Yarrowia lipolytica: one gene and its partners. The protein of the gene in region 1 interacts with the protein of each later gene in a pairwise test. Links are inferred from orthologs where the notes say so. Each region holds a gene or a part of one and is shown in the gene's direction. Other genes may lie near its edges. The genes, in order: YALI1_E21513g, YALI1_C12900g, YALI1_E40502g and YALI1_B20289g.

What was found.
Region 2: the proteins of YALI1_E21513g (region 1) and YALI1_C12900g interact in binary tests that used the Saccharomyces cerevisiae proteins (3 or more experiments, as listed by UniProt). The link is inferred for Yarrowia lipolytica from reciprocal best matches to the Saccharomyces cerevisiae genes RSP5 and STM1.
Region 3: the proteins of YALI1_E21513g (region 1) and YALI1_E40502g interact in binary tests that used the Saccharomyces cerevisiae proteins (3 or more experiments, as listed by UniProt). The link is inferred for Yarrowia lipolytica from reciprocal best matches to the Saccharomyces cerevisiae genes RSP5 and MRX18.
Region 4: the proteins of YALI1_E21513g (region 1) and YALI1_B20289g interact in binary tests that used the Saccharomyces cerevisiae proteins (3 or more experiments, as listed by UniProt). The link is inferred for Yarrowia lipolytica from reciprocal best matches to the Saccharomyces cerevisiae genes RSP5 and LYS1.

Annotation. Positions count from the first base shown.
Region 1 is NC_090774.1:2,148,268-2,153,972, reverse strand, and holds YALI1_E21513g (uncharacterized protein), read left to right. Parts: upstream 1-1,963; coding exon 1,964-1,994; intron 1,995-2,652; coding exon 2,653-5,186; downstream 5,187-5,705. Other genes in the region: YALI1_E21552g (uncharacterized protein), read left to right, coding at 1-380; YALI1_E21535g (uncharacterized protein), read left to right, coding at 426-433, 478-781; YALI1_E21524g (uncharacterized protein), read right to left, coding at 1,192-1,469, 1,518-1,575. UniProt on the Saccharomyces cerevisiae protein: E3 ubiquitin-protein ligase which accepts ubiquitin from an E2 ubiquitin-conjugating enzyme in the form of a thioester and then directly transfers the ubiquitin to targeted substrates.
Region 2 is NC_090772.1:1,288,774-1,293,166, reverse strand, and holds YALI1_C12900g (uncharacterized protein), read left to right. Parts: upstream 1-2,118; coding exon 2,119-2,133; intron 2,134-3,087; coding exon 3,088-3,882; downstream 3,883-4,393. UniProt on the Saccharomyces cerevisiae protein: Ribosome preservation factor that protect a small pool of nontranslating, vacant ribosomes in cells under nutrient starvation conditions.
Region 3 is NC_090774.1:4,048,323-4,053,054, forward strand, and holds YALI1_E40502g (uncharacterized protein), read left to right. Parts: upstream 1-1,921; coding exon 1,922-3,955; downstream 3,956-4,732. Other genes in the region: YALI1_E40471g (uncharacterized protein), read left to right, coding at 1-234; YALI1_E40540g (uncharacterized protein), read right to left, coding at 4,461-4,732.
Region 4 is NC_090771.1:2,026,924-2,030,655, forward strand, and holds YALI1_B20289g (uncharacterized protein), read left to right. Parts: upstream 1-2,002; coding exon 2,003-3,112; downstream 3,113-3,732. Other genes in the region: YALI1_B20276g (uncharacterized protein), read right to left, coding at 1-701; YALI1_B20319g (uncharacterized protein), read right to left, coding at 3,575-3,732. UniProt on the Saccharomyces cerevisiae protein: Catalyzes the NAD(+)-dependent cleavage of saccharopine to L-lysine and 2-oxoglutarate, the final step in the alpha-aminoadipate (AAA) pathway for lysine biosynthesis.

The DNA of each region.
Region 1 (5,705 bases):
TCAAGCCCGGGCCCTGGAACCTTGGCCGATGGTCGCGGCCCTGCGGCATTCTGTCGGTCGCCTATGTGGCGCTCATGACCCCCATTCTGTGTCTGCCCCAGTACAAGGGCAAGAACCTCGATCTCGACACCATGAACTGGACCGTGGTGGTCTACTTTGGTCCCATGCTTCTGGCGTTTGGCTGGTTCATGATCGACGCACGAAAGTGGTTCAAGGGCCCCAAGGTCAACGTCCAGCATGCCATCCACAAGGACCACGAGCTTGAGGAGCAGTCCACCAATGGCGTGGAGTTCTTGTCGGGCGTTGAGCCCAGCGGATCGGGCAACTCCTATGAGGAGCACTCCAAGGCCAAGGACTGGGCTCGAGCCGACCAGGTTTAGTTTGGACTTTATGCCGTATTTATTTGCATAGTGAATGTTTACTTGATGAGTTAGTAGGGATAGGAGATATCATAGATCAGAGTAGTATCAGGATCAGCATCAGGATCAGCATCAGCATCAGAAGAAAGGTATCAGATCAGAATCAGACCAATGGTAGCGATCAGAAGAAAGGTATCAAGTCGCAAGTCACGGAAGTGGTTCTGTCAATGGTCGATAGTCAACATGTGGATTTCGTGAGTCTTACCGAGTCTACTCGTAAGTCGAGACGTTCTTCTGTTGTCCTCGTGTCGCCTGTTACTCGTCAGTCGTCTCTGTTGACCTGCCGAGCCAAACGCTCGCTCCTATATATACATCCGGCGATATTTGCTCAGACCATTTTCCGCCCACTTTCTCCAAAGTAGGGCAAAGCTGACGCCATGCAGATGCGCTTCCCTTTTGTGATTAGTGATCGGAAATACCCCAGCCCTAGCCGCTCCATGTTCGTTTTCCGCCAGACTCGAACCCACGGGCTTGTCTTCACCGCCACTCGCTACTCCCAAAATAGCTCCGAGGAGGCGCAGCGACCCACATTAGTCACGCAACCTGCACGATAGCAGAGCAAAAGCTCCGTGTCGAGGTTGGCGAGCAAAGTTGAGATATGCCGCAAGTTTGGTGAGGTGGTCGGCCTGCCCTCGGCAAGTGGAGGTGTCGTGGTCACCAGTGTCTCAGGTACGATGCCATCTGGAGTATAGATTGATACGAGTGCACTCCTAAAGACTGCTATAGACTGCTATAGACTGCTATAGACGCTATAGACTGCTATAGACTGCTCCTATACACTCCTCCGACTCCACGAGCCCTTCAAATGTCGCATGGACCACGTCGACACGCTTTTACTTCGCGGTCCGCTTGCGCATCCATCCGGCTGGACCAACAGTGGCATCTCCTGAATAATACGGGGCGGAGTGGAGTATCGTGGGTCGTAGGTACAAGGCGCTAGTGAAGGTGCTGACAAACGTTGTCGAAGCGGTTTGAGACGGTCAGAAGCGGTTCGTCTCAGCGGTTGAAAGAGCGGATTGGCGACCGTCGAGTAAAGTTGGACCCAAGGAGCTGTCCCACGGTGTAATACAGCCAAATGTGCTCATACTGGGCTCGAACCGTGCGTGTCCCACGTACAGCACATGGCCAACAACCTCGTCAAATTGAACTCACACATTCACTAAAGTTCATACTGCAGTACAGTTGGAAGTAGGGTGGGGATGAAGAGAAAAAAAAAAGGAATCCTCAGAGGAGAAACAAACGAGAAGGAGACAAGGGCCCGTGGGGTATATATTTGGCCGCGCAACAAACAGGTGGCAGGCACGTGTCTGCTGTCTGCGGGAGTCCACGTGACTCGGCCACCGGCTCCTTTGCCCGTCTTTTCCCACCACCACTATTAATGCCTCTACGTACCCCGGGTAACTTTGAAATTGGGAGGCGAGGCAGCAAGACTAAGACCCAAACTGTGTGTGTCACTCTCACTTGAGCTAGTTATCGAACCGGGCTACAAAGCTCCTAGATTCCAGCACAGTCTTCCTCTTCCACCAGAGCGATAGAATTCCGGCATGCCCAGGACAACCAAGCTAAGGCTGACGGGTGAGTATGAGCCGGTGGCGTTGCGCCACGGAGCGACTGTGGCAGTCAGTCAGGGACCAGTCAGGACCAACGGAACACTGGGTGGACATGGGACAGGGTGACACAGACAGAGAATGTCGCAGACAGAGAATGTCGCAGACACAAGGTGGCACAGACAGAGAATGGCACAGACACAGTCCAATGGGAACGGTCCTCGGCCGAACGCCCCTATGACAACTGGCCTGATATCCATTCGGAGATACACAAACTCTGGACCGGAGATCGAGTCTGTGCGACACCAGTGACGGAACGAGTGACGGAACGAGTGACGGTGCGGAGAGACCATGCTGAATGACGGTGTCGAATGGCAAAGACCTACGATATGGAATGGCCAGGACGTCTTCAAGACTTGGTCTCCTCTGTGATCAGAGTGGAGGAGTGCCCGGGTCAAATATGTTCTCAACGTCGTTGCCGTACGTTATTGTACATCATTGTCATCAGTCGTTGCCATCGTTGCGTTGTATGGTCGGGGTTCATATCATTGCATTGGTCGTTGCCCGTCGTGCGACCTGGTATCCGGCCGTCGTGTGACCCGGTGTCCGGCCGTCGTGCGACCCGGTGTCCACTCGAGCCCTCGTAGCTCGCTGCACACGCTACTCTTCCAACCCCGCTAACACAGTCATCGCCGCAGACCAACTATACAAAAGAGATGTCTTCCGTCTCCCCGACCCCTTCGCAGTGGTCCTCGTGGACGGCGGCCAAACCCGAACCACCTCCGTCATCAAGAAAACGCTCAACCCCTACTGGAACGAGTCGTTCGACGTCGACGTTACCCCGTCGTCCATCATCGTTGTGCAAATCTTTGACCACAAAAAGTTCAAAAAGAAGGACCAGGGCTTCCTCGGCGTCATCAACATCCGCGTGGGCGACGTGCTCAACCTGGCCCAAGGAGGAGACGAGATGATCACCAAGGACCTCCGCAAGGCCAACGACTCGCTCGTGGTCAACGGCAAGATCATCCTCAACCTCAGCACCAACACCGCCGGCCGACGCGCCACCGGCGCCTCCTCCGCGGCAGGCTCCACCGCCCCATCCACCGCCTCCGTGTCTGCTGCTGCTCGCACCAACCTCCCCGACATTTCGTCCCTCAGCGTCGACAACTCCAGCGTGCGAAGCAGCTCCACCTCGCACAGCGCCACCCCCTCGGCCACCACTAACAGCACATCGACCAGTGCGCTGAACGGGGCCAATAACACCACGGGCACTACAACCACCACAGGCCCCCCTGCCGGTGCACCCACCGCTACCGCCACGTCCACGGCCGCACGCCCAGCCCCCAACTCCCGGGGCTTCTCGTCCTTTGAGGATCAGTTTGGCCGGCTGCCCACCGGCTGGGAGCGACGTACCGACAATCTGGGCCGAACGTACTACGTGGACCACAACAATCGCAGCACCACGTGGACCCGCCCGGCAAACTCGCAGAACGAGTCCGAGTCGCGCCAGGCCCGTCAGAACAACACTAACCTGGAGCGGCAGCGGCACCAGAACCGAACGCTGCCCGAGGAGCGGGCCCAGTCGCCCACGCTCGGTTCCCACAACCGTACCGGCTCCGGCGCCACCGCAGGTTCGTCGTCGGGAGCGGCGGGAGGAGGTGCAGCCGCCGGCGGTGTTGCAGCCACCTCCCCGGGTGGTACTCCCCGGTCTGCATCCGACGCCGTGGCCATGACCATGTCTGGAGCCACCACACCCGCACTGGGCGAGCTGCCTGTCGGCTGGGAGCAGCGGTTCACACCCGAGGGACGGCCCTACTTTGTGGACCACAACACACGAACTACAACCTGGGTCGACCCTCGGCGACAGCAGTACATTCGAATGTACGGCGGCACCAACGCCGCGGGGGGCACCAACACGACCGTGCAGCAAATGTCTGTGTCCCATCTGGGTCCCCTTCCCTCCGGCTGGGAAATGCGGCTCACCAACACTGCTCGTGTGTACTTTGTGGACCACAACACCAAGACCACAACCTGGGAAGACCCACGGCTGCCCTCGTCGCTTGACCAGAGCGTGCCGCAGTACAAGCGGGACTTCCGACGAAAGCTCATCTACTTCCGGTCGCAGCCTGCTCTGCGAATTCTGCCTGGCCAGTGCCACATCAAGGTGCGGCGAGATCACATTTTTGAAGATTCATATCAGGAGATTATGCGGCAGACGCCACAGGATCTGCAGAAGCGACTGATGATCAAGTTCGACGGCGAGGAGGGTCTGGATTACGGAGGAGTGTCGCGAGAGTTCTTCTTTTTGCTGTCGCACGAAATGTTCAACCCCTTTTACTGTCTGTTTGAATACTCGGCGCACGACAACTACACTTTGCAGATCAACCCCCACAGTGGCATCAACCCCGAGCATCTCAACTACTTCAAGTTCATCGGTCGGTGCGTCGGTCTGGCCATTTTCCATCGTCGATTCCTTGACGCCTTCTTCATTGGCGCCTTCTACAAGATGATTCTCAAGAAGAAGGTTATGCTGGAGGACATGGAGGGTGTGGACGCGGACTACCACCGAAACCTGGAGTGGGCGCTGGACAACGACATTACCGATGTGCTGGACCTGACCTTCAGCGTGGAGGACGACCAGTTTGGCGAGATTGTCACCATTGATCTCAAGCCCGACGGCCGAAACATTGAAGTGACCAACGATAACAAGATTGAATACGTTGAGCTTGTGACCGAGTGGCGAATCAGCAAGCGTGTGGAGGAGCAGTTCCAGGCGTTTGTGTCTGGATTCTACGAGCTCATCCCCCAGGAGCTGGTCAATGTGTTTGACGAGCGGGAGCTGGAGCTGCTGATTGGAGGTATTGCCGACATTGACGTCGACGACTGGAAGAAGCACACCGATTACCGGGGCTACTCGGAGTCGGACGAGGTCATCAAGTGGTTCTGGCAGTGCATTAGATCGTGGGACAGCGAGCAAAAGTCGCGGCTGCTGCAGTTCACGACCGGTACGTCGCGAATCCCCGTCAACGGCTTCAAGGATCTGCAGGGCAGCGATGGTCCTCGCCGGTTCACGATTGAGAAGGCTGGAGAGGCCCAGCATCTGCCCAAGTCGCATACCTGTTTCAACCGAGTCGATCTGCCTCCGTACAAGAACTACGAGGATTTGGTCAAGAAGCTGTCCATGGCTGTGGAGGAGACTGTTGGTTTCGGCCAGGAGTAAGCCGGGGAGACGGGACTGCGCAGTGCAGGTAGCATATACATTTTTATAACATGCTTGAGTGAGCTGAGTAAGGCGCGGTGAGTATAAACCTTTTATCAGTATCGTAGCTGTACAAGTGGTTGGTAATCAGCCACAGTTTGAGTGAGGGATATACACTGGGTGTGATGGAGAGAATATGTAGGTGGAAGAGGTATGGGATTGCATTGTAGACGAGTATACCAATCGGGTATAGCCTTAGATGAAACAGTGATTCAAAAGAGTGATTCAAAAGTGAGCGACGCCATCTGAAAACCGGTTGAAAAACAGTTTGAGAGACCACTGTTCTCTCCACAGCTGGTGCGGGAGTCTAACCTACTGTGCGACACTATTTGCCAAAGCTACGATTTAGGTGGGGCTGGTTTGAGGGCTGCAGTTTGAGGGTTGCAGTTTGAGAGCAGCAGTTTGCGTGTTTTCAGTTTGCGAGATTGGTTTCTGGTCACGTGACCGGCGAGAAGGCCCGCGGCCTGATTTTAGGAGGTG
Region 2 (4,393 bases), on another chromosome or scaffold:
CCTCTCTGACTCTCTGCACGGCCTCTTCCGAAAGATCCGAATTGTGCGGATAGCTTTTCCGTGGCTACAGAGTCGTCAGGTTTGGCCTGAAAAAAAGGCCTGAATCGACATTGTCGCGCATGGCAGATGCGCCAGGGTGATGGACTGTGCGAGCTCCAAAGCAGTTGCGAGAAAAACTGCGGGCAAAGCTGCGGGCAAAGCAGGCAAGGCGGGAAAGCGAGCAAAACGGGCAACGCAGGCAAGGCGGGCAACGCAGGCAAAGCGGGCAAAAACGGGCAAAAACGCGAGCAAAAAGATATGTGGTCTCTCTGCAGGTTGTGAATGTGATTTCAGTGAGTGTGTGGAGCAGGGCTCATGGGGTCCGATGAAGCTGCGTGAGTGGAATTCGTCCATACATGGTGGCCACTTGTCCATCTTCATCATCTCCTCACTGAATAACCTCACTCCCGCCATGGGGATCCGGACCCTGACCACCTCCGAACGCACTCCATAACGCACTCACTCTTTAGGCGTTAGAAGCGGAGATAAGGGTGTGGGGACGGCCAATGAGAGCCACAAAGTCGGTTATCGTACAGATAATATCGGCTTTTTGACGACAACAACAAGGTGACATGATACAGGCGCGTTGGTGAAGTTGAGGGAGTACTAGTACCAGCATAGAAGCATTTTGACAAACCATCTATTCCACCTGAAGACAGTCTTTCTACAAGGTTGTCTCCAATCAGCTTACTCATCAGGATGGCTCATGAGCTGCTCATTGAGTGATTGCGTTTTATCGGTCCTGTTGCTGATTTGGTTGGTTGTTTGATTGGTTGGTGCTATACAATCAGCCAACCCAAGTACTAATAGTCAACTTCTCTGGAAACAGTCCGTGCTGTCCCGTAGATGATGGTCTAATTCAATCATGAGAAGACAACTCCGCCCAGATCGGAAGCTGTGAGGATCGGAAGCTGTGAGGGTCCTGCGTCACGTGAACATATCGACACCCAACTCCATGGCACGTGACTCCCTCTCTGTGACTCCCTCCCCATCACCCCTCTGACCTCACCAACCATTCCATTGGCCAACTGCCTACGCACCAACTACAATAAACCTTCAAGTGACTCCCCCACATTTTCCAAAGGTGTAGGTTTGGAGTGAGACTTGCTCTAAAAGTGGGACTGCAAGTACATAACAGTAGTCCTACAATCATCAGGCCCCATCCATCTTTCAGGACGACCATGGCCGCAAGTAGTGACACCAGATGGCCACAAGTACAGTATGTACAGTACAGTAGTAGTGACAGCCGCTGGTGTACGGTCGTCGTACTGTAGTTTGGAGAGGACAGTTCAGTATGCTGAAAAGTTCCAGAGCTGACCAGGATAAACGGAATATACAAGATAAGTACACACAGTACCCGTTAAATCCGTCCGACTGACAATTTACGACATCCTTCTCGTCCCTTCTATCGAGAGTCCTCCCCCCTCTCTCTCCTCCGTCCTCTCTGCCCCTCTGTCCTCCCTCTGTCCTCCTCCCCTCCTCGTGCACTGATTACTGTTGATCATACTTCTAGCAGACAGATCAGGCGATACAGCCAAGCTGAAAAGACCAAGCCAAAACCATGACCAACCAAGACCAACCAAGACCAAAACACTCTCAAAAAAGGACAAAAAAATAATAAAAAAACGTCTCTGCCGGCCCACTCAACGTCCTTGTCACGTGACTCTCTCCAATCTCTCCTTGCCACTCCACCGGCTGGTTACACCTGCCTCTATCGCACCTGCATACTCCTCACAGCAAACTTTGGAGCCTTAGGTTTGTAGACTAAAGTACACCCAGGTCCCAAGAGGTGCGGAGACAGGTTCCAAAGGGGCCCAGGGAGCGGTCTAGTGACCAATCTGAGAGGGCCAATCGATTCTCCGTGGCCGCTTTGGTCGGAGGCATCACGTCGGGCTAGGACTGGGCCCCCCGCTCGTGAGGGGGATCGCATCACGGGACTTACCCTACGTCACCTCCTCTTACCCTACCTTCCCCCATTGGGCCAGCGCCAACCCACTCACACTTGTCGGTGAAATTTTCACTTTGCTGTTGCTCCAAATTTTAAGTGTCCAAACACGAGGATAATAGAGGGCTGCTAACATGTCTGTCTCCAAGGTGAGTATTTGAAGACAAGAGGGGTTGGGGGGGCCGTGAAAGCGGGACCCGGCGGCCACGCCCCAGCGGCCAAACACCGAGGATCATCCAACCCCACATGTGGGTCATGTGTGACTGACATGGGTGGAGGTGTCCCGTGGGGCACGTGGCAGAGATGTGGGATGTGGTGTCGCAGGTGTGACGGAGGAGAAGCTGATGATGGATGGCGTCAAGGGGTTTGTTGATTACGGGGTCGATTGTGTTTTTGGCTGCTTGGCTTGTGTTGGTGCTGTTTGGGTCGGTGGAGATGCACATTTGGTGTTGTCAGATCATTGCACCCAACGGCCCCATGTCCACCTAGTGGTGTGGGCAATGTGGAGACGTGGCCTCAAGGGCAGCGTCGATGATATCGCAACCAACCACAATCCCAAAATGACCCGTTCACACTGAACGATGGAGGTGCGGGGATGTCGCAATCAGACGATCCGACGGACCTACGTCCATAGTAGTCAGTGGTCAGCAGCGTCAACCACAACCATCCCACCAATCCGAAGTGCTTGTGCTATCTACGTGGCCAGTGCCATCATTCGCCGGGCATGTATCTCTTCCTCATGCGCATCACCACACTCCAACCATGGGTCTTCTCCAGACGCCTCGGACCGGTGGGCGGACCGTGTGATTCCCGGGCTGAGCATAGCCGGCCATCTCCAGAGCCCAGCTTGCCAGCTTGCCAGGTCGCCGTCGAATCGCCGTCGACCTCCTTCACATGGCGATGTCTCTTCCTGGCTACCCCACTTGGTGAGGGGAAGCCTGGGGCCGCTGCCTGCAAGTCGACTCGCAGACGAGCAGCAAGCGAGTTGCCTGTGTTGACTGCGACGTCTCCTTGCGACTCCGTTGCGAATTGTTTGTGACTCATTTACTGCCCGCTCGCGCTCGCTCCGCTTGTGCGCTCTTGCATCTTCCGTGCTAACCCAGAACCTATACGAAATCCTCGGCAACGTGGAGGAGGACTCCAACAAGGTCATTGTGACCAAGGAGCTCACCAAGAACTCCGGCTCTTCCAAGAAGAACGCCGCCCCCAAGGACCCCGGCGCTGCCATCGGTGCTTCCAAGAAGTCCAACCAGCCCCTGCGGGACCAGAACCGGTCCAAGTCCACCGAGCCCCAGGCTGAGAAGAAGGGCAAGCCTGCCCGAAACCCCCGACCTGACCGACGATCCCAGACCGGCAAGTCCGACTCTGCCAAGAAGGTTGGCAAGGGATGGGGCGACTCCAAGGGCAAGCTCGCTGACGAGAAGGCCGGTGACGCCATCGCCACCAAGGACGAGGCCGAGCCCGAGACCCCCGTCGAGGCCCCTGTTGAGGAGCCTGACAACACCAAGACTCTGGAGGAGTACCTTGCCGAGCAGAAGGCTGCCACCGCCAAGCTTGCTTCCGGCCGATCTGTCCGACAGGCCAACGCCGGCGCCGAGTCCAAGTACTCCGAGGCTTCCAAGCTCGACAAGGACGAGGTTGCCGATCTCGTTGCCGGCACCAAGGCCAAGAACGTGCGAACCCGAGCCCGAAAGGAGAAGGTTCTGCTCGAGATTGAGCCTGCCTTCCCCGCCAACCGAGAGTCTCGAGGTGACCGATCCGACCGAGCCCCCCGAGAGAACCGAGGTGGCCGAGACGGCAAGCGAGGTGGTGACAAGAAGGGTTTCCGAACCCAGGAGCGAAAGGCTCCCTCCGTCAACCTCTCTTCCGCCTCTGACTTCCCCGCCCTTGGCGCCTAAGCGGACAACCGTGTCCTTTTGACAGGTTTTGAATCAAGTCTTTTGAATGAACAGTCGCATGGCTGACAAAACGAACGATGAGTAATCAATCGAGCGAATTATGAAACTGCAACCGACCATGACCATAGCCGTGGTTGTTGCCCTGTACATGAGTATGAAGCCGGTAGTTTGTAGCATCATGGTGCGTACTTGTAGTGATTGTATTGAGATATTTTGATAATGTTAATTATAAGCATAACCAACCCGAGGATTGAGTTCATAGGACAGGAGTAAGGGGGCCATTGTGCTGCGAATATTGGTGGTAGATGGAAGCGGGAAATGGGAGAGTCATCTGTGCAACGAGAGGAGTGTGATGGTTGTTTCCTTTTTCTGATCGGGCCATCATTGGGTGAGTTGGAGAGAGTGAGAGAGTGAGTGGAGCATTTTAACCACAGTAAGTGGCTCTATATGGTGTCAGTTCTATGACTGCAATTATACGAAGCCCATTGACGAGAGCGACAGAGATGCTGGA
Region 3 (4,732 bases), about 1.9 Mb from region 1:
AACGGTGTGGCTGTCAAGGGCCACGTGGAGATGGGCAACACTTTCATGTCCTTGTTTTCCAACCGTGGAAAACTTGACAACATCAAGCGAGGAGCTATGATCGAGTCTCGAAACACCTGGGACCAGACCTGGGTCAAGACTGTGGGTCCTCTTTTCGACATCGGAGAGTACGTTCAACAGAGACCAGATGAGGATTACGACTTCAGCAGTAGCAGCAGCGACGACGACCACTAATAACGATACGAAAAGAGAAGGTGAGAAAAGGATAAAAGAGATGGACATTGATCCACACTACATATAACTGAATGCATTTTTATTGTACCACATAGGACCATTATAATGGGGGCATAAACAAGCAATTGTTACCCACCTCATAAAAGGGAGGCTTGATAAGCCAAAGCATCATGGTACAGTTGGACTTCATATCTGTCTACATACAAGTACCGCTGCAACTGTTCTCCAACAGTTCAAACAGACGCTGTGACGTCATAGATCTGCAAATTTCAACGGAGAATACAATCTGAAACGCCACAAAGAGCAAATCCAACACATGGACAAAGAATGAAATGTAATAACCGATCTGACATTACGTCACACATGATGTTCCCCACGTGTGGACTGCGTTTGTGCGTTTGTGGCCCTTAATTTCCAGTCAGGTTGGGTTAGGGTAAACAGGATCATCTGGTCATTGCAAAATAGAGTTTCAGGTGCCTCATCGTATTTGAACGTCTTTTAATGTCTATCATAAATGTCTATCTAGGGGTTTGCATAGCTGAAATTGGTTCAAATCGTGTGAAAAACACAGAATATTCCATTATTACATCTCCCTGAATAGCTCAACCGCTAGTGCAACTTCTACGGCGTTAGCAATCGCGTCAGCACAAGTTTTTGCTGGTAACAGATAACGTTTCCAGTGCATCAACAGGGGTAGGGTTATGCCACATTAGGCCCAAACACAATGAGGCTGGTAGCCCACCGTCCTTTCTGAGGGTGGTTGTTTTGAGCGCTGGTCTTCAACAGTACACTAAGAAAACAACTTTTGGAGGACCCTGGGGTCTGATTATTGGGTCAGTGTTCGGAAATATTACAACTAGTGTGGGCAACGGTGGATAATAATACTGTAGAAGTGAAGTGGTATGTGTGATATTTTGTTAGACAGAGCTTGCGAAGATTGAGACCTGCATATCAGCATGTCAAGGATCTCATCTCCACACACGCCAGGTGCCCCCATCTCCACGTGTGTTACAGCTGATCGGATTTGACTCATTTAGACCATTGTAATCAAACGATGAAACACACGACCCCTGTCTCTTCCAGCCCATTGTTCGTGTGGCAAGTGCCTCGGGGCTGGATCGCCACCTTCAGATAAGGTCTCTCTTGTGGTATCGTGCATGAGAGCTGTACCAGTAGTTGGGAGGCTGGTTGAGGGAAGATAGAAGAGGGAAAAAAGAGCTTTTACGGCTAGAGAAGATGGACCAAACCAGAGTGTGTCTGACACCAAGACTGCAGATTGGGTTTCGGTAGACACACCCGAGCGATGGTTTGGACGTGTAAGATGCAGGGAACGTTGAGATGCTGGTTGCCACAGCATACTTCGGTGAGGTTATGTGGCAGCCCTGCGGAGATGAAAAAATGCAAGGCTGGGAAATAGTCTGGGGAAATAAAGATGCACTCAGTATATATAGATGTGAACAATCCTCGAAACTTGTATTCTCATCAGACAATCTCATCAACACTCTCTTTCACAACTTCTACAGTCTTTTGACACTCACTTGTCCATCCGACACCTCCACCACTTGTCCATCCGACACTCACTGTCTATCCGACACCCACTGTCCATCCGACACCTACTGTCTATCCGACACTTTCTTATTACTGTCTATCCGACATTGTCAATTGACGCTATTCACTTTCATTTGCGATGAAGTTCACAACTCTCCTTTCTATGGCCTCTGTGGCCATGTCTGCCGCCGTCACTGTGGAGATTCACTCTACGGTGCTAGAAACCGTGTTCGAAACAGCCTCTGAGACGATAATTTCCGACGCCGCAACCCCCGAACCCTCCCCCACAGTCAGATATGTTACCATTCTGCCCAAACCCTTTCCTGCATTCAACGGCGTTGCCCTGAGCGGCACTGTCCACAACAAGCGAGACACCGTCGAGACTTCTGTCGACTGCAATCTCGGACTGGCCTCTGCCTCTGCTGCTGCTCTCCGGGAGCAAAGTTCAGCTGGTACCTCGTCCGCAGCATATACCGCAACCTTAACTTCTGGTAGCAATCTTAGCTCCGAGACCCACACCATTGAGGTTTCTTCTTCTACTTCTTCCATTCCCGAACCTGCCACCGCATCAATTGAGACCGAGCCTAACCCCAGTCTCATCCCCCTCTTTATCCCCGTTCACCAGGAAGACTCCCCCCCCGACACTACCACCGACACTCACAACATGGGACTTGGAACCAAAATCAGAGACATGGTCAACAACGTTGGCCCCGTGGCCGCTGCCGACCTCAGCAAGCCCAACCAGGCTCCCAATGACCGAACCATCTTCCAGTCGCGAAACAACCATGGCCCCAACATTGGCTCCATGTTCCTTCTCGAGAAGTGGCTGACCCCTGGCATGTTCCCCGACTCCGCCAAGGGAGACGCTGAGCTCGACGCTGTGACCGCTCTCGTTGCCGAACAGGGTGCCGGCGGCGCCCAGAAGAAGTTTGAGGACCACTGGAACACCTGGATCACCGACGACGACTTCTCGTACCTGCAGTCTGTGGGAGCCAACGCCATCCGAGTGCCCATGGGCTACTGGACCATCAACGGAGGCGCCTTCACCCAGGGCACCCCCTTCCAGCAGTACCAGTCCGTCTACCAGAACGCCTGGTCCATTTTCAAGACCAACATTCTCGACAAGGCCCGAGCCGCCAACATTGCTGTTCTGATTGATCTGCATGCCGTTCCCGGCGGCGCCAACGGAGACGCTCACTCTGGAACCTCTTCCGGTAAGGTCGAGTTCTGGGACTCTCGAAGCGACCAGAAGATTGCTATTGACGCTCTCCAGTGGGTCGCCAAGGACGTGCTTTCATACGACAACGTTCTCGGTATCGAGGTCGTCAACGAGGCCGTCTACGACGCTTCCACTTCCAAGGAGGGCTCTTACTACCTGCGAGCTCTCGAGGCCATCCGACAGGTGAACCCTGACGTTCCCGTCTACATCTCCGATGGCTGGGCTCCTACCGAATGGAACGAGTGGGTCCAGGAGCAGAACCAGAAGCTTTCTGCCGGTCAGAACACTGGTTTTGTTGTCGACTCGCACGTCTACAAGGCCTTCTCCGAGCAGGACAAGGGCAACTCTCCCCAGCAGAACATTGCCAACGTTCCCGCCTACCTCAATGTTGGAAAGGCCCAGGCTGATTCTATTGTCGGCGAGTTCTCCTGTGTCTTCTCCGAGGAGACCTGGGCTAAGGCCGGCGGTGAGGACCGAGAGCAGCTTGCCATCAAGTACGGCCAGGTTCAAATTGAGTCCTTCAACCAGAATGCCCGAGCCGGATGGTTCTTCTGGACTTACAAGTTCCAGTACGGCGATGGAGGCGATTGGGGCTTCAAACCCATGACCCAGAAGGGCGCCCTCCCGACCTTCTCCAACGGAGGCTCCAACAAGGATCCCAAGGCCGGCATCAAGGAGGCAGCCACCAAGGCTACCGAGGAGCACTCTGCCTACTGGGACCAGCATCAGGGTAACTACGAGCACTGGCGATACGCCGATGGATACGTTTCGGGATGGCAGGACGCTGCCGCCTTCTACGAGTTCCACGGCTCCACCATTGGCCGAATCAACGCCTGGCAGGACGCCCGACGAGCCCAGCACATTGCTGCTAAGGGTAACTCCGGTGCCATCTGGGAGTGGGACCAGGGCTTCGACGCTGGTATTCAGGGTCTGCTCAACTACATGCGATCTTAAGCAGATCGCTAGGGCCACTTCAAAACACTTTACGACTCTACAATCACGACTTTTCACAACCACATTCTTCTCTGACTTTCACGGTCTATCGATTGGTAGATCTCTATTTATTCTTTAGCATTTTCTGAATACATTTATTAGATATAATTACACACAGACAGTAGCTTCAAGTAGCGACCAGTAGCAGTAGCAATAACAGCAGACAGGAGCAACGGAGTAGGAAAAGCCACAATAACCACAACGTGCTGCCATTGGCTTGTGCACCAACGTCAACTGCACTATTATCTCGGATATTACGCACTCTTGGCACAGGACACTACGTAATACGTAGGGTCATTGGCTCTTGAGACGAGAATTCTTTCATCAGTATTCTTATAATTAATTATCAACATAGTGTACACATAGCCTTCTATAGTACACCCAACATTTCTACCAACTCACCTCGTGTATCATGACACTGGGCTGGATCAATCGTTATATCATAAATGTACACTACATACAATCCCTAGACCATGGAAAACAGAGAAAAGTTTCGCACAATACCAGGTCCCATCTCGTCGTAATCCTGCTTGGTGTAGCAGTAGTTCTTGAACTCGGGAGTAGAAGACAGCAGAGATCCTCCATACCATACAGCGTTTCGCTGCTTGGAGTGTGAGATGACCTTCACATCGACTCCCGAAGACTTGACTCCGGTCGCCCGCTGGTTAGCAGCAAGTCGATCGTCAGCAAGAGTTCGAATGTCTCGCTGCAGACGTCGGCCGAAATCCTTGAACATGG
Region 4 (3,732 bases), on another chromosome or scaffold:
GTAGTGGTGGTAGTGGTGGTGGTAGTAATCTCAGTGGCGACGGCAGCAGGAGCAGCATCAGCAGCGGCATCAGCAGCGGCATCAGCAGCGGCATCAGCAGCGGCATCAGCAGCGGCATCAGAAGTAGGCTCGGGAGCATCCACCACCATCTCGGAAGAGTCGACCTCAATTTTGGCCTCGGGGATGGTGGTGTTGTTGAGAGCTTCTTCAGCGGTGGCAGCAGCAGGCTCAGCGGGCTTCTCCTCAGCGGGCTTCTCCTCGTCACCCTGCTTGTCCATGGTAGTCATTCCAGGAATGGCCTCGCCTCCCACGGCGCCTCGAATATCCGACGCAGTTAGATCATTGTCGTTCTTGACCTCCGGGGGAGCGTGCACCTCAGTCACGAATGCAATCACGTCGTCTGTGGAGCCGTACTTGAAAGCGACATGAGCCTCCTGGTCGGGATCAGGAATCCATTGCTTGACCTTGAAGTTGAGGTTCGACAGCGACACAGGGGTAGACGCGGGGGTGCCCTTCTCGGCGTCAGCAGGGGTCTGTGCTCGCTTTTCAGATGGAGCAGACACCACGTTTGGTGACTGTTGAGGAGATACCCATTGTCGGACCCAGTGGACCACCTTTGAATCTGTGTCGTTGGCGTAAGTAGAGGCACCGGCCGATCGCATGACCGATTGCCGGTGAAGTGATCGTCGAGTCACAGGCATGTTATGTGATGTGTGGTGGTGAATGTGTAGAGAAGTGTAGTTGGTGATGCTGGTGAATTATTAGAGTTGGTGCATAGCAGAACCATACTGTAGATGGCTTGGGACAAGAACTAAAGTATGCGTGCGCGGATGGATGTTCGGTACGAGTACTGTTGAAGAGATATCTACAAGTAGTGCTAAACCCACGCTTCTGAAGATATGATAGTTTCTGATGTTCATGAAAGATGTGCGAGGGAGATGATGACGTGATTTATTTCATGCTACCAGCCTGTTCATCGACAATATGGTTTTTCTTAGTTGACAAAACAACAAGATACATAGTATGGTAGGCTACAACCTGGATGTTTCATGGATGGTTGTTTCATGGATTGTTGTTTCCTTCTCACAATGAGCATCATGGTACATCACCAACCAAATCTAGTCATAGTCTTTGCTCGATGCTTGCCTCTTACAGGGGTTTAGAACTTCCAAAACCCTTACTAAGCACATAAGGAACGCATGCCTGAGACCATCAATGCCGAGAATCTTGTACAAGTACATGCTGTATTCTCATCTTCTAGAAGCATGTTCGGTTAATGGCGGACGAGGTTTCCAACGAGATAACATCGTGGCAGCTGCCACCCATGACCGATATGCCTGAAATAAGTGAATTGACCATCAGAAGTTCTGCATTCAAATAGAACTATATCATATTCGGCTCAGTTTTTTCAATAATAGTCCAATCCCTAAGTCTCCTATCCAAAATGGTTCCTGACCAGCCACATCCATGATCATGACTGCGTGACAGGAACAGTCATTCCGTGGATGAACGACTTTACGCTCAGGTACTGTAAATATCTGTAAAGGGCAGACAACCAACCAATTGAGTAACCTGTGAGACTTGAAACGTAAGATGACTTCACACACAAAGTCACTTGACTCAACCGTGGCTCTCAATTGCACAAAATCACTCTGCACTAATCTATTGCAGGAGTCAGGCTATGAACAACTAGACGACAGCTACTTATGTGTTATATAGAGGAATATTAAAAAATCTAAGAATAATCATAAAGTTACAAAATAATTATCAGATTTCGAGCCACAGGTCACCCCTAACATGTGTTATTGCACACCCACAATCCTCAGCTTGATGTCATTTAATTCTTCCAGCCACCATCTCTCTCTCCAACCCTAATGGCAAACTTTATTTTGGTGGATCGATGACTCTTACTCAACTGCAGCATACTTAAGCACAATTGTTCCCCAGCCTGATACGACACACCATCCATTGTCACTTCACCACATACAACAACACAGACACAATGACCGCACCAGTGAAGCTCCATCTCCGAGCCGAGACCAAGCCTCTCGAGCACCGATCTGCTCTCACGCCTACTACCACCCGAAAGCTGCTTGATGCTGGATTCGAGGTCTTTGTGGAGAAGTCTCCCCTTCGAATCTTCGACGACCAGGAGTTTGTCGATGTCGGAGCCACTCTTGTCGAGGAGGGCTCTTGGGTCTCTGCCCCCGAGGACCGAATGATTATTGGTCTTAAGGAGCTGCCTGAGGAATCTTTCCCTCTGTCTCACGAGCACATCCAGTTTGCTCACTGCTACAAGGATCAGGGCGGATGGAAGGACGTTCTGAGCCGATTCCCCGCAGGAAACGGAACTCTGTACGACCTTGAGTTCCTGGAGGATGACAATGGACGACGAGTTGCCGCCTTTGGCTTCCACGCTGGATTCGCCGGTGCCGCCATCGGTGTCGAGACTTGGGCCTTCCAGCAGACCCACCCCGACAGCGAAAACCTGCCCGGTGTCTCTGCCTATCCCAATGAGACCGAGCTTGTCGACAAGATTAAGAAGGATCTTGCCGCTGCTGTTGAGAAGGGCTCCAAGCTCCCTACCGTCCTGGTGATTGGTGCTCTTGGCCGATGTGGATCCGGTGCCATTGATCTGGCCCGAAAGGTCGGTATCCCCGAAGAGAACATCATTCGATGGGACATGAACGAGACCAAGAAGGGTGGACCCTTCCAAGAGATTGCTGACGCGGATATCTTCATCAACTGCATCTACCTGTCTCAGCCCATTCCTCCTTTCATCAACTACGATCTGCTCAACAAGGAGACCCGAAAGCTCAGTGTCATTGTCGACGTCTCTGCTGACACCACCAACCCCCACAACCCTGTCCCCGTGTACACAATTGCTACCACGTTCGACCATCCCACCGTGCCTGTTGAGACCACTGCTGGCCCCAAGCTGTCCGTGTGCTCGATCGACCACCTGCCCTCTCTTCTGCCGCGAGAGGCTTCCGAGGCCTTTTCTGAGGCTCTGCTGCCTTCTCTCCTGCAGCTTCCTCAGCGAGACACTGCTCCTGTCTGGACCCGAGCTAAGGCTCTGTTCGACAAACACGTTCTGCGAATTGGCGAGTAATTTCATTAATGCAAATAGACGTGTATTTGAAAAGGAGGAGATGATGGTACCAGTAATTTACGGTGTTTGAATAGACAAATTATATATATAAAATTAACCTGATGAATGAGTGTATGAATGGATTGCTTAATATACCGAGGGAGAGCCGGTATCAATATTTATTCGTCCTAAGAAGCTAAAATATGCTGTTCCGTTGATAGCGATGTCTGTTTGAGAGTCAATGGCAGAACGCGGAGGAGTATTGTTAGTTGGTGATCGGTTTACTCGACATCGAGTAGGGGGCGAGACAGAAGATATCCCGAATCCATTGCATTGTTTATTAGGATGTTCACAACACAACTCCCTCTAGACTCTGGGGATGTGCGTTAGAAGAATGACCTGGAGCAAGAGTGTTCAGATTGATCCGTTCAAATTTTCAAGATTACTGTTGGGGTTGTTTTTGAATCCACATTAGCTGGACGACTATTGCATCTGAGCGCTCGGAACGTCTCCCTTTCCTTCAGCTTTATACGAGTCGATTCCATAAGCGCGACCTCTCGAATTGCCTTCGGTTGTGAAGCCATAGGCAAAGGTGTGGCTATGGAATCTGTTCTGTTCGTTGAACCTGTTCCTTTCGTTCA